2 linked regions of the Oryctolagus cuniculus genome follow. The protein of the gene in region 1 purifies or fractionates together with the protein of each later gene. This does not show direct contact. Links are inferred from orthologs where the notes say so. Each region holds a gene or a part of one and is shown in the gene's direction. Other genes may lie near its edges.

The links. The genes of interacting proteins can lie anywhere in the genome.
Region 2: the proteins of SLC37A3 (region 1) and ATRAID purify together in Homo sapiens (affinity purification with mass spectrometry; 3 studies listed by BioGRID and IntAct, counting the BioPlex papers as one, with this or other methods). This does not show direct contact. The link is inferred for Oryctolagus cuniculus from reciprocal best matches to the Homo sapiens genes SLC37A3 and ATRAID.

What each region holds. Positions count from the first base shown.
Region 1 is NC_091434.1:183,658,280-183,662,784, forward strand, and holds part of SLC37A3 (sugar phosphate exchanger 3), read left to right. Parts: intron 1-1,902; coding exon 1,903-2,044; intron 2,045-3,928; coding exon 3,929-4,030; intron 4,031-4,505. UniProt on the Homo sapiens protein: Unlike the other SLC37 members, lacks glucose-6-phosphate antiporter activity.
Region 2 is NC_091433.1:175,757,223-175,762,174, reverse strand, and holds the start of ATRAID (all-trans retinoic acid-induced differentiation factor), read left to right. Parts: upstream 1-1,859; 5' UTR 1,860-1,929; coding exon 1,930-2,028; exon of another isoform or gene 2,029-2,383; coding exon of another isoform or gene 2,384-2,425; intron 2,426-2,617; coding exon 2,618-2,739; exon of another isoform or gene 2,740-3,065; coding exon of another isoform or gene 3,066-3,163; intron 3,164-4,521; coding exon 4,522-4,593; intron 4,594-4,774; coding exon 4,775-4,846; intron 4,847-4,944; coding exon 4,945-4,952. UniProt on the Homo sapiens protein: Promotes osteoblast cell differentiation and terminal mineralization. Plays a role in inducing the cell cycle arrest via inhibiting CCND1 expression in all-trans-retinoic acid (ATRA) signal pathway.

The sequences.
Region 1 (4,505 bases):
CTTAGCAGGAGGCTGGAATTGGGACAGAGCTGGGTCTTGAATGCAGGCAGGCCCGTGAGGATGTCCAGGCAGCGTGTTAACCGCTGTGCCAAATGCCCGCCCCTCGTGTTTTTAAGCATATGTATTTTTTGGCCTTTTGTGTTATTACAGAACTGAATAAGGACCAAGAACGGGTTTGAATGGTTCATTAAATGTCTTAATAGCCGACATTCTGGTTGTTCCAGGAAAAACTTTTTTTTCCCCACTCTTAAAAGGGGTCTAGAGCAGAGCACTGCGGTGTCCTTGGTCGTGCGTGCCAGACTCCACCTTTGCAGCCCGAAAGACTTTCTAACGTCTGAGCTGAGTCCTGTGTCCTGCAGCTTTGTGGTCTCTGTTTCGGGCGCTCAGCACTGCAGTGGCAGTGGAGGCCTAGGCTGCTCCCAGCTGACTTTCTGTGCGACCCGGGTAGGGCACCCGGCCCATCTGTGCTGTTTCCTGTGGGACGGAGGTGACCCCAGCCCCCATGGGGTTCACAAGGCTGGGTTATGGTGTTGAGAACAAGCACCTGTCTTGTTTTTTCACTTTTTAGTGGTGCACTTTGGATTAAAAGCCTGCAGGCCACCTTATTTCTCACTTACCAGTGCCCTCCCTCCTGTGTCCCCAAGCTAAGAGAACTAACATTTGAACAGATACTTGAGTGTGAATTACAATGTATGCGCTTCTAAAAATTATTGGAAAAATGAAAAATTTTGAAATTTTTTTGCACCAAAGTCAACATCTTTTCATTCCGCTTCCCATGAAGTTTTTGAAGTGCCTTGTAAGTGCACCTCCCACAGTTCTTACGTTCGGTGCTGTAATGGAGGGGAATGCAGCTCCCGAAGGCCTCTCCTTGTGCGAGGATCGTCAGTGCTGGCAGTGGGTCCTTTCTGAGAGGGCGCAGGTTTGTTGTGACTAGCTGTGGAACTCTTGCTGTCCCTTTGTACTTCACGAGCAGCTGCTCTCCGCCAAGGCACTGGTGTAAAGGAAATCTACTCCGCTCCATCCCTTTGTCTTTGCAGCGGCCTGTCTGGAACATCCACTCACCATTGGGATTTGACTCTCTGGGGGGTGGAAGCAGTTTTAGAACAAGTGATACCTAGGGAATAAGTGGCAGCTCCGGGGAAAAGAATGTACTAGCCAGACAGCCTTTGAAGTCAGCCCCTCGTCCCTCCTCCTCTTCCCTTTGATGCTAAATGTCAGGACTTCCTGGTCATAACGGGTTGAATATAGGAGTCTTCGCCTCCCAACCATCCGCAGGCAGCTGCAGCTTTTCCCTCCCTCAAAGGAGAGCCAGCCGCAGGTCGAAGACCGCGTGTTCCTTTACGTTCGGCTCATCAGAGATGTTTGTTTTCTTCTTTTCCGCTGGGGGTGGGACTGGATTGGGCTTTGGGTTAACTCCAGTGTGAAAGCAGTTTTAACATTGAGGCTTTTTTTAGACCCTGAAACTATGGTTGAGTCACCTTGTTCTCCAACTTTCTCAGTGTTAATTTGCAGGAAGTAGGATAACCTTTAACCGCTGCAGTAAGCACTGTATGTTTGCCTATGGTTAGCGCCAGTTAGTTGCATGGGTATCGTTTATCTTCTAGTCAAGAAATATGAGCCTGTGCCCTGCCTTTAGGTCCCAAACACTGGTTTGCTTCTGCTGGGAGGATAGACTAGGGGTGGTTATGAAACAGTCGTGGGCAGGTGTTAGTTCAAAGCCTGCTGCACCTGAGAAGCCACTGGGGATAAAGGGAAGGGGGGAGTAGGTGCCGTGGGCAGATGGGGATTTGTAAAGGTGTTTACCGGGGAGCCAGGGGCCGCTCATCCCCAGCTCCTGTACCGAAGTTTGTTAAAAGCTGAGGCCGTGCTGTGCTCACTGACGATCGAGTGCTTTCCTTCTAGTATTCCCTGGCCTACGCCTGCCTCAAGTTAGTGAATTACTCCTTCTTCTTCTGGTTGCCCTTTTATCTGAGTAACAACTTTGGCTGGAAGGAGGCCGAAGCTGACCAGCTGTCCATTTGGTACGACGTTGGAGGAATCATAGGTATGCGTCTCTTTCTGTAGGAGAGTTAGTTCACTAGAAGTCTTTCACCAGGCTGTGAAGCCTGGCTTCAGTTAACAACCATTTTCCCTAAAGTGCCCTACCAGTAAACAGCCAAACTCTGGAAAAAAAAAAAGAAAAAAAAAAAAAAATGAAAAGAGGTCCCTGGGAAGGAAGACGCAGCCAGGGCAGCGCTGCGGCGGCAGGGGTCTTCTCGGTCCTTTGTCTCAGGACACACACGGAACCTCCCCTGGACGCTCACTGCCTCTCTAAAGCTGACTGTGTCAGAGGTGGGAGTTACGAGGCCTGTGTGTTCCTGTGTCTGCCTCCCGCCTCCCCGTCTCCCCAGCCAAATAAGGAAAAGAACACCCAGGGTGTCGCTAGCAGTAACAGCTGGGGTTAATTTTTGTGTTATGCAACTGCTTCCTTATAAACAACAGATTTTAATAGTGACTTTGTGCTATGAGCAAGGCACTAAGAAACTTTAAAGACAGACGGGCACACACAGTGCCTGCTGCCCTTCTGCTGACACGTGGGATTGTGGTGAGCGCATCAAAGCTCCTGACGCATTCCTTGGTGATGTCCGGTTGCTGTGTCTGTGCGCTTGGCTGCCCTGGTTCTTAGACCCAGAGTCTAGAGCGCGATGGCCTCCTTCGGACCTGTCCTTGCCTCTGTGTCCCCTGAGATTGGAACTTCGTAGGTGTCTGATGGAGATGGGCCACATGTCCCCCAGCCCTAGAGCTCAGAGTGGCCCTGTGTCCAGTGTGACAGTCACATCACCTCTCTTATTTTTAAATATGTATTTATTTATTTGAAAGGCAGAGTGACAGAGAGAAGAAACACACATACATACCTGTCTGCTGGTTCACTCCTCAAATGGCTGCAACTCCCAGGTTGGGCCAGGCCAAAGCCAGGAGCCCAGCACTCCGTCAGGTCTCCCACGTGGGTGGAAGGGGCCCCACTACGTGAGCTGTCCTCTGCTGCCTCCCCAGAGGCATTAGAGGGAGCTGGACGGGAAGCGGGGCAGCTGGGACTGGAAGGAGCCTTCCGATACGGGATGCCAGCGTCACAGGCAGCTGCTTGCCGGTGCCACAACGCAGGCCCCACATCACCTGTTTTCACATTCTGGCCTGCCTGTCAGTTCTTACCGAACCACAACTGCTGATTTATTCTCAGTGAACATTTATCAGCCACTGTTAGCAGCCTGTGAGGCACAGTCCTTACTCATCATTTAAGTTCAAAAGCAGAAACATCGGAAAAAGCATTCACAACTTATTTTTGTAGGGGAAACAGGGATAATAGATGGTTTTGATTTTTCCTTGTTTCTTATTTTGATGTCTGATTAGTGGTGTTCTGTCCCTGTCATCCATCATGGCGATTTAACAGTTCATCAGGGGTGACACTTTGGCACAGTGTGTTAAGCCATGGCCTGCAGTGCCAACATCCCATATGGGTTCAAGCCCCGGATGCTCCAGTTCTGATCCAGCTCCCTGCTAATGCCCTGGGAAAAGCAGCAGAGGATGGCCCAAGTGCCTGGGCCTCTGCGCCCATGTGAAAAGCCTGGAAGAAACTCCTGGCTCCTGGCTTCAGCCTGGCTCAGCCTTGGCTATTGCAGCCATTTGGGGAGTGAGCCAGTGGATGGAAGATCTCTCTCTCTTTCTCTCCTCTCTCTGTAACTCTGCCTTTCAAGTAAATAATTAAATCTGTAAACAAACAAAACAAAACAGTTCATCTTTGTAAAATAAATGATGGTAGAAGCGTCCGGAGAGTCGGCCATTTTTGGGCTAGACCTAAGGGTAGAAGGGAGGGTGTGGGGCCCTGCTCAGGTGACCGGGCCGAGTTTGAAAGGCAGTGACGTTGATGGTGCCATGATGCTTGTGCTCCAAGGTGGGACTCTGCAAGGCTTCGTCTCTGACATGCTGCAGAAGAGAGCCCCCGTGTTAGCCCTGAGCCTGCTTCTGGCCATCGGGTCCCTCGTGGGGTACAGTCGTGAGTATGCCTTCGCAAGCACTGTGTTCCTGAGCTCCCGGGAGCAAGCATTCGTCTGGAGTCAGCAGGCGGGGAGCCCCGAGTGCAGCTTCAGGCTGCTGTGCCACCCTGGCGCTGGCCTGGGAACGCCTGGGAAAGCCGGCGTCACATGGTTTTATTTGTGTGGGGAGGCAGGAAATTGGCATCTCTCGTGCTTTGCTGGCTTGTTTAAAAGCTTGCTTGGGAGTGTACGTGCTTTGTTTGAGGGGTGGCCCCGAGGGACAGCATTGGAGCCAATAAAACAATAAACGGGGAGGCGAGTTCAGGAGCGGGAAGATGCTCATTAGCTTGGTGTGTGTCCCTTAAGATGCGGCGGCCACGGGGCGGGGGTTCTGCAGCTTGCAGATGTCTTCATTAGCCTGAGCCTGAGCGCCAGCGAGAGGCAGACTGCTGGTGGGAGCTGGAAGGCCCGCGTCTGCTTGTAGTCCCTGGGGCG
Region 2 (4,952 bases), on another chromosome or scaffold:
AGATGGGCCAAGTGCTTGGGCCTCTGCACCCATGTGGGAGGCCTGCATGAAGCTCCTGGCTCCAGCCTGCCCCAGCCCTGGCCAATGTGGCCATGTGGGGAGTGAACCGGTGGATGGAAGACCTTTCATAACTCTGCCTTTCAAGTAAGTAGAGTACTAAAGACAAAAGAATTCTATTTGCATGGGGTACTGAGAACCCTTCTGGATGGCAGGAGAGAGAGCCAGGAAGACAAGAAAAACCTGAGTAACAAAGCCTTCCTCAGACACCATTCTTTTTTTTTTTTTTTTTTTGACAGGCAGAGTGGACAGTGAGAGAGAGACAGAGACAGAGAGAAAGGTCTTCCTTTGCCGTTGGTTCACCCTCCAATGGCGGCCGGCGCACCGCGCTGATCCGATGGCAGGAGCCAGGTACTTATCCTGGTCTCCCATGGGGTGCAGGGCCCAAGTACCTGGGCCATCCTCCACTGCACTCCCGGGCCACAGCAGAGAGCTGGCCTGGAAGAGGGGCAACCGGGACAGAATCCGGCGCCCGGACCGGGACTAGAACCCGGCGTGCTGGCGCCGCAAGGCGGAGGATTAGCCTAGTGAGCCGCGGCGCCGGCACACACACCATTCTAAGAACAGAGCAGCAGCTAACAGGCTGCCCTGATGGAAACCCTAAAGTCTCTGAGGGTGTGGGAGCCAAGAACTGAGCTACCTGTCATGGGGAGGGCACAGCCACGTGGGGGGCCCTTCTAAGATGCCCAAACCCTGTGGTCACACGCTGCACCCGACTGCTCCGACCCTACAGGGCCCAAAGGGGCCACAGCAGGAGCAACTGTCCCCCAGAATCCCTCGACATGAAAGGCTTCGGGACCCTCACTAAAACGCAAATGGCTACGAACATCTCAGAGAATCCGCCAGCCAACTAGATGCAAACATGCATCCAGGAGACTCCAGGCAGATCCCGGGGGTCCGCGGAAGCACGACCTGGAGCAGCTACTCAAATGAGCTTCGGTCGACTCAGCTGGGCTTCCGGCTGACCCTGACCAAGCCAGCCCTGCCGGTCCCCGAGCCCGGCTCGCCCAGCGCCCCGCGCCAGGACTCCGCGCCACCCCGCCTTACCTCACCTCCGTGGCTCGGCCAGGACTAGGAAGGTCCCCTGCTTCTACCTGAGTTCAGCATCGCTCCCTTTTCCTGGAAAAGCAAGGAAGACGAATGAGGGAAGAGTCTCTCCCGCCCCTACCACCTCGCCAGGCTCCGGGGACGCCGCGCGCTCTCAGCACGGAGGTGGAAGGGACAGGGTGCCCGGGGCGTTCCCAAGCTCGCGTCCGGCCGCCGGAGTTTGCCCTTCGCCCTCCACTCGCTGGTCCATCACTCTCACCGCTTCCTTTCTCGGCTTCTTCCCTTCCCTCCGCACGTGCCGAGTTCACCACCTCGCCCCGTTTGCACTTCAGTCCCCGCGCCGGGGGCCTGCCGGTCCCGTCCCACCCCGCCTCTCCGCCCCCGCCCTGACGTCGCTCGGCCGAGCCTCTCCGCACTGGTCCACACCCTCCCGGCCCACCTGCCTGGTCTCCACACGTGGGTCGCCGGAGAGCCGGGGCAGCAAAACACAGGGAGGGTGACAGCGAGGCCCCGCCCCCGGCCCGCCTGGCCGCCATGTTTACTGAGGGCATCTGAAGGCACCCGAGCCGCTGTGCGGACGCCACCGTGGCGTCCGGACGCGGGAGACGCGGGGCTGGAGGATCCCGCAGTCTGCACAGGCGCCTTCGCCAGTCCCCTCAGAACGAAAACTGGGGCGCACGGAAACGCGCGGTACCCCACGCAACCAGCAGCAACTCACAGCCCGCCCCGGCCGCCAGGAGCCGGCCGACTAAGCCACGCCCCGGGACGGGGGCGGGGCCGCGGTGTGGTCTCGCGAGGCACAGAAAAGGTCGAAGGAAGCGAAAAATGGCGCTTCGCGAGCCGGGCAATCGTACCTGCCCGGTGCGCTGGGCTGCGGCCCTGCTCCTCGCTCTGAGCGTGGAAAGGGCTGTGGCGCTACCCGAGGTACAGGAGCAAGTTTGAGGTCGGGCTGAAGCAGGGCCGCTGGCCTGCCGGTGTGTCGCGCCCGCCCGCCCGCCCGCGGCAGTCCCCTCCCCGACGCCGGCCTTGCGCCCCGGCTTCGTCCCTGGAGGGCAGCCGCCGGGATCCCGCAGCCGCGTCCGGCTCGCGGCGACACTCACGTCACTCTGGCCTCGGGCGCTCGCGCCGACACCACGTTCAAAGGCCTTTGAAATTTGATCTCCTCGCTGCTTCATCTTTGAATGACTTAAAAACATTGTTGGAACGGACGGGTCTCTGGCTCTCGGGCTCGCTGTCCACGCACTGTGCCGCGGTTGGACGGTACCTTCTGTGGAGCTTGATGAGTTCTCGGAGTACCCGCAGCCTCTTTACACCCGGCCAGGTGGGGCTGTCTGAAGGAGGCGGCTCTGGGGAGGGCATAGCAAAGACATCCCCTCCCTGGCCAGCTGTGGCACCCAAGTGTCCTGGTCCAGCCTGGTAACAGGGGCTCGGGGTACTGGCGGTGAATTCTTGGCACCAGTTGGTTCTCCGTTTTCTGTCTGGAAGCCTAACACGTGTGTTTTCTCTCCTGCAGATCTGCAGCCAGTGTCCAGGGGGTGTGCACAACGTGTCCGCAGTGGCGGTTTACTGTGAGCAGACACCGGGGCTAACGCTGCGTGCGCGCTGCTGCCTGGGTCCGACGGGCGCCATCGTGGGGTGAGGGCGCGGAGGCCATCCCTGGAGGCTGGAACGGTTCCCACGCTGGCGGCTGCCCGGCTTCCCGGCTTGGCTTTGCGGATGAACGCTGGTGCCTAGTTGGAGGCATCCAAACTCTGGTTCTCAAACTTTTAAATGTGTCATAGCACGAGGTTGTTAGAAACACAACCTTGTGTTTCTTTATGGATGAAACTTTGTAAAAGTCATAATGTTTGTGTAGCTTTTTTTAAGGCTTTTATTTATGATTTTTTTATTTATGATTTTGTTTTAAAAAGAGCTTTGGTCTGCTTATTATCAAGCCTTTGGGTTATTTATTGTGTGTCTCCATGAAATTCCTCCAAGACACTGCTCCGCGGCTCTTGTTCATTTTCTGGCTTATTTATATTTGTGTTGGGACAAGTTCTGCCTCTACCTGCTTGTACAGGTTAGTCTCTCAGATTCACTCCTTGGCCTTGCTGCCTTTCTCTGCACTCACAAGAGTTTCCCTGGGTCTCGGTGCCTCAGCTGTACCCATTCCGCAGGGGTCTGCCTAGGCCAGGCCTTCTAAGCACCATTGACTCCTCCAGGCCCACGGGCCTGGGCACCTCCAGCTGCTTATTAAATCCTCTGAGTGTACCCTCACATCAAACTCCAGATGTTATATCTGGCTTCCATCCTCATCTTTCCCTAATCTACCTAAATGGGTCTCTGTATTCCACTTTCTGAAAAGCAAAATTTTACCGTTATCACTTCCTTGCTTTAATATTTAGAACTGTTGCCCTCAGGATAAAGGCCAAACCATGAAGCACCACAGACCAGTCCCGACACACTTTTCCAACATTATCCTGATTCCTCAGCCATTCAAACTCTCCGTAAGGGTCCAGCTCCAGTCAGACTGGCACACCCCCCCCAAGGCATCCCACCTCTCTCCATACCCAAAATTACCATCCTCCAGCAAATTAGGACATAGTAGATCTGCAATTCCAACACCTTTGGTGAATGATCTCAGAGTAATGCCTTTTTGTTTTTTTAACTTCTGATCCTCAATGTCCATAGCAGTCTGTGGATGGTCCTGTGGATTTTTTTCCCATATTGTAATTTTTGATGACCGTCTGGTTCTGTATTATATGCCAGTAAAGGGCTAAGATGCTGAGTTACATGTTTTTTATATTCTCCCAATTTTTGTAGTTTAGAGTGTCTCAGTAAATATTTGTAGGATAAAGGAATAGACAGCAACAGGTATTGCAGAAAAAAAAATTTAAATGTTGCATGGTCCTTGATGTCCAGGAGTTTGTCACCAGTCTATGGTAGAAAATGGACTTGGAAAAACTCTCTTTCATATGACTTTTTTTTTTTTCCACTTAAAGGAGTACTGTGGATCTGAGGGTCGATATAATTTGAGATCCACTATTCTACACAAATACTAATTTCTTCAGTCTATGCACATGTTCGTAGGCAAACTGATGAGGGCGGTGCTGTGCAACAGAGCTCTCTTTAACAATGGGAACGTTCCATGTCTGGACTGACCAGCACAGCACTACTAACATTTCTACTTGAAATGTGGCCAGTGCGAGGGAGGCACTGGATTGCTGGGTTGAAGTGGTTAAAGTAGCCGTGGGTAGCTGGTGGGTGACGGTAGTGGGTAACGCGAGCCTAAAACGTCAACCTCAGCATCTGGTCTGTGACTCTGAACCCTGCTGTATTCACTTGATATTAGCTGAAGAGGGGGTTGCGTAATCAAACACAGACCTTGTCGTGGAAGAAGAGAAAGCAGACATCGTTACACACACTTTGTTTCCTCAGGCTGGATCTCCAGAACTGTTCTCTGAAGCAGCCTGGCCCAAACTTCCCTCAGGCACACAGCGCTGTCATCATGTAAGTAGTCAGGTGCCCTTCTGCCCAGAAAGCGAATAATGGCTAAAGGTTGATGGGGAGGTGCATATCGGCGTCTAAACTTGGGACAGTCGGGATGAGAATTGCATTACCGCTCCGGAAAGCTAGGGGAATGTCAGCAGGGTCTTCAATGAGCAGAGTGCTGACCGTGTGTGCTTTGCAGAGAGCTGCAAACAAACCCCCTCCAGGGTGACCTGACCGACACCTTCCGAGGCTTTACACAGCTCCAGACATTGTGAGTATGGGGACAAGATGGAGGGAGAGAACCAAAGGGGGCAGTGCCATGAGCTCAGCAGCTTAGGCTGCGTATTATGACCACTGTGTTGTCTTCAGGGTACTGC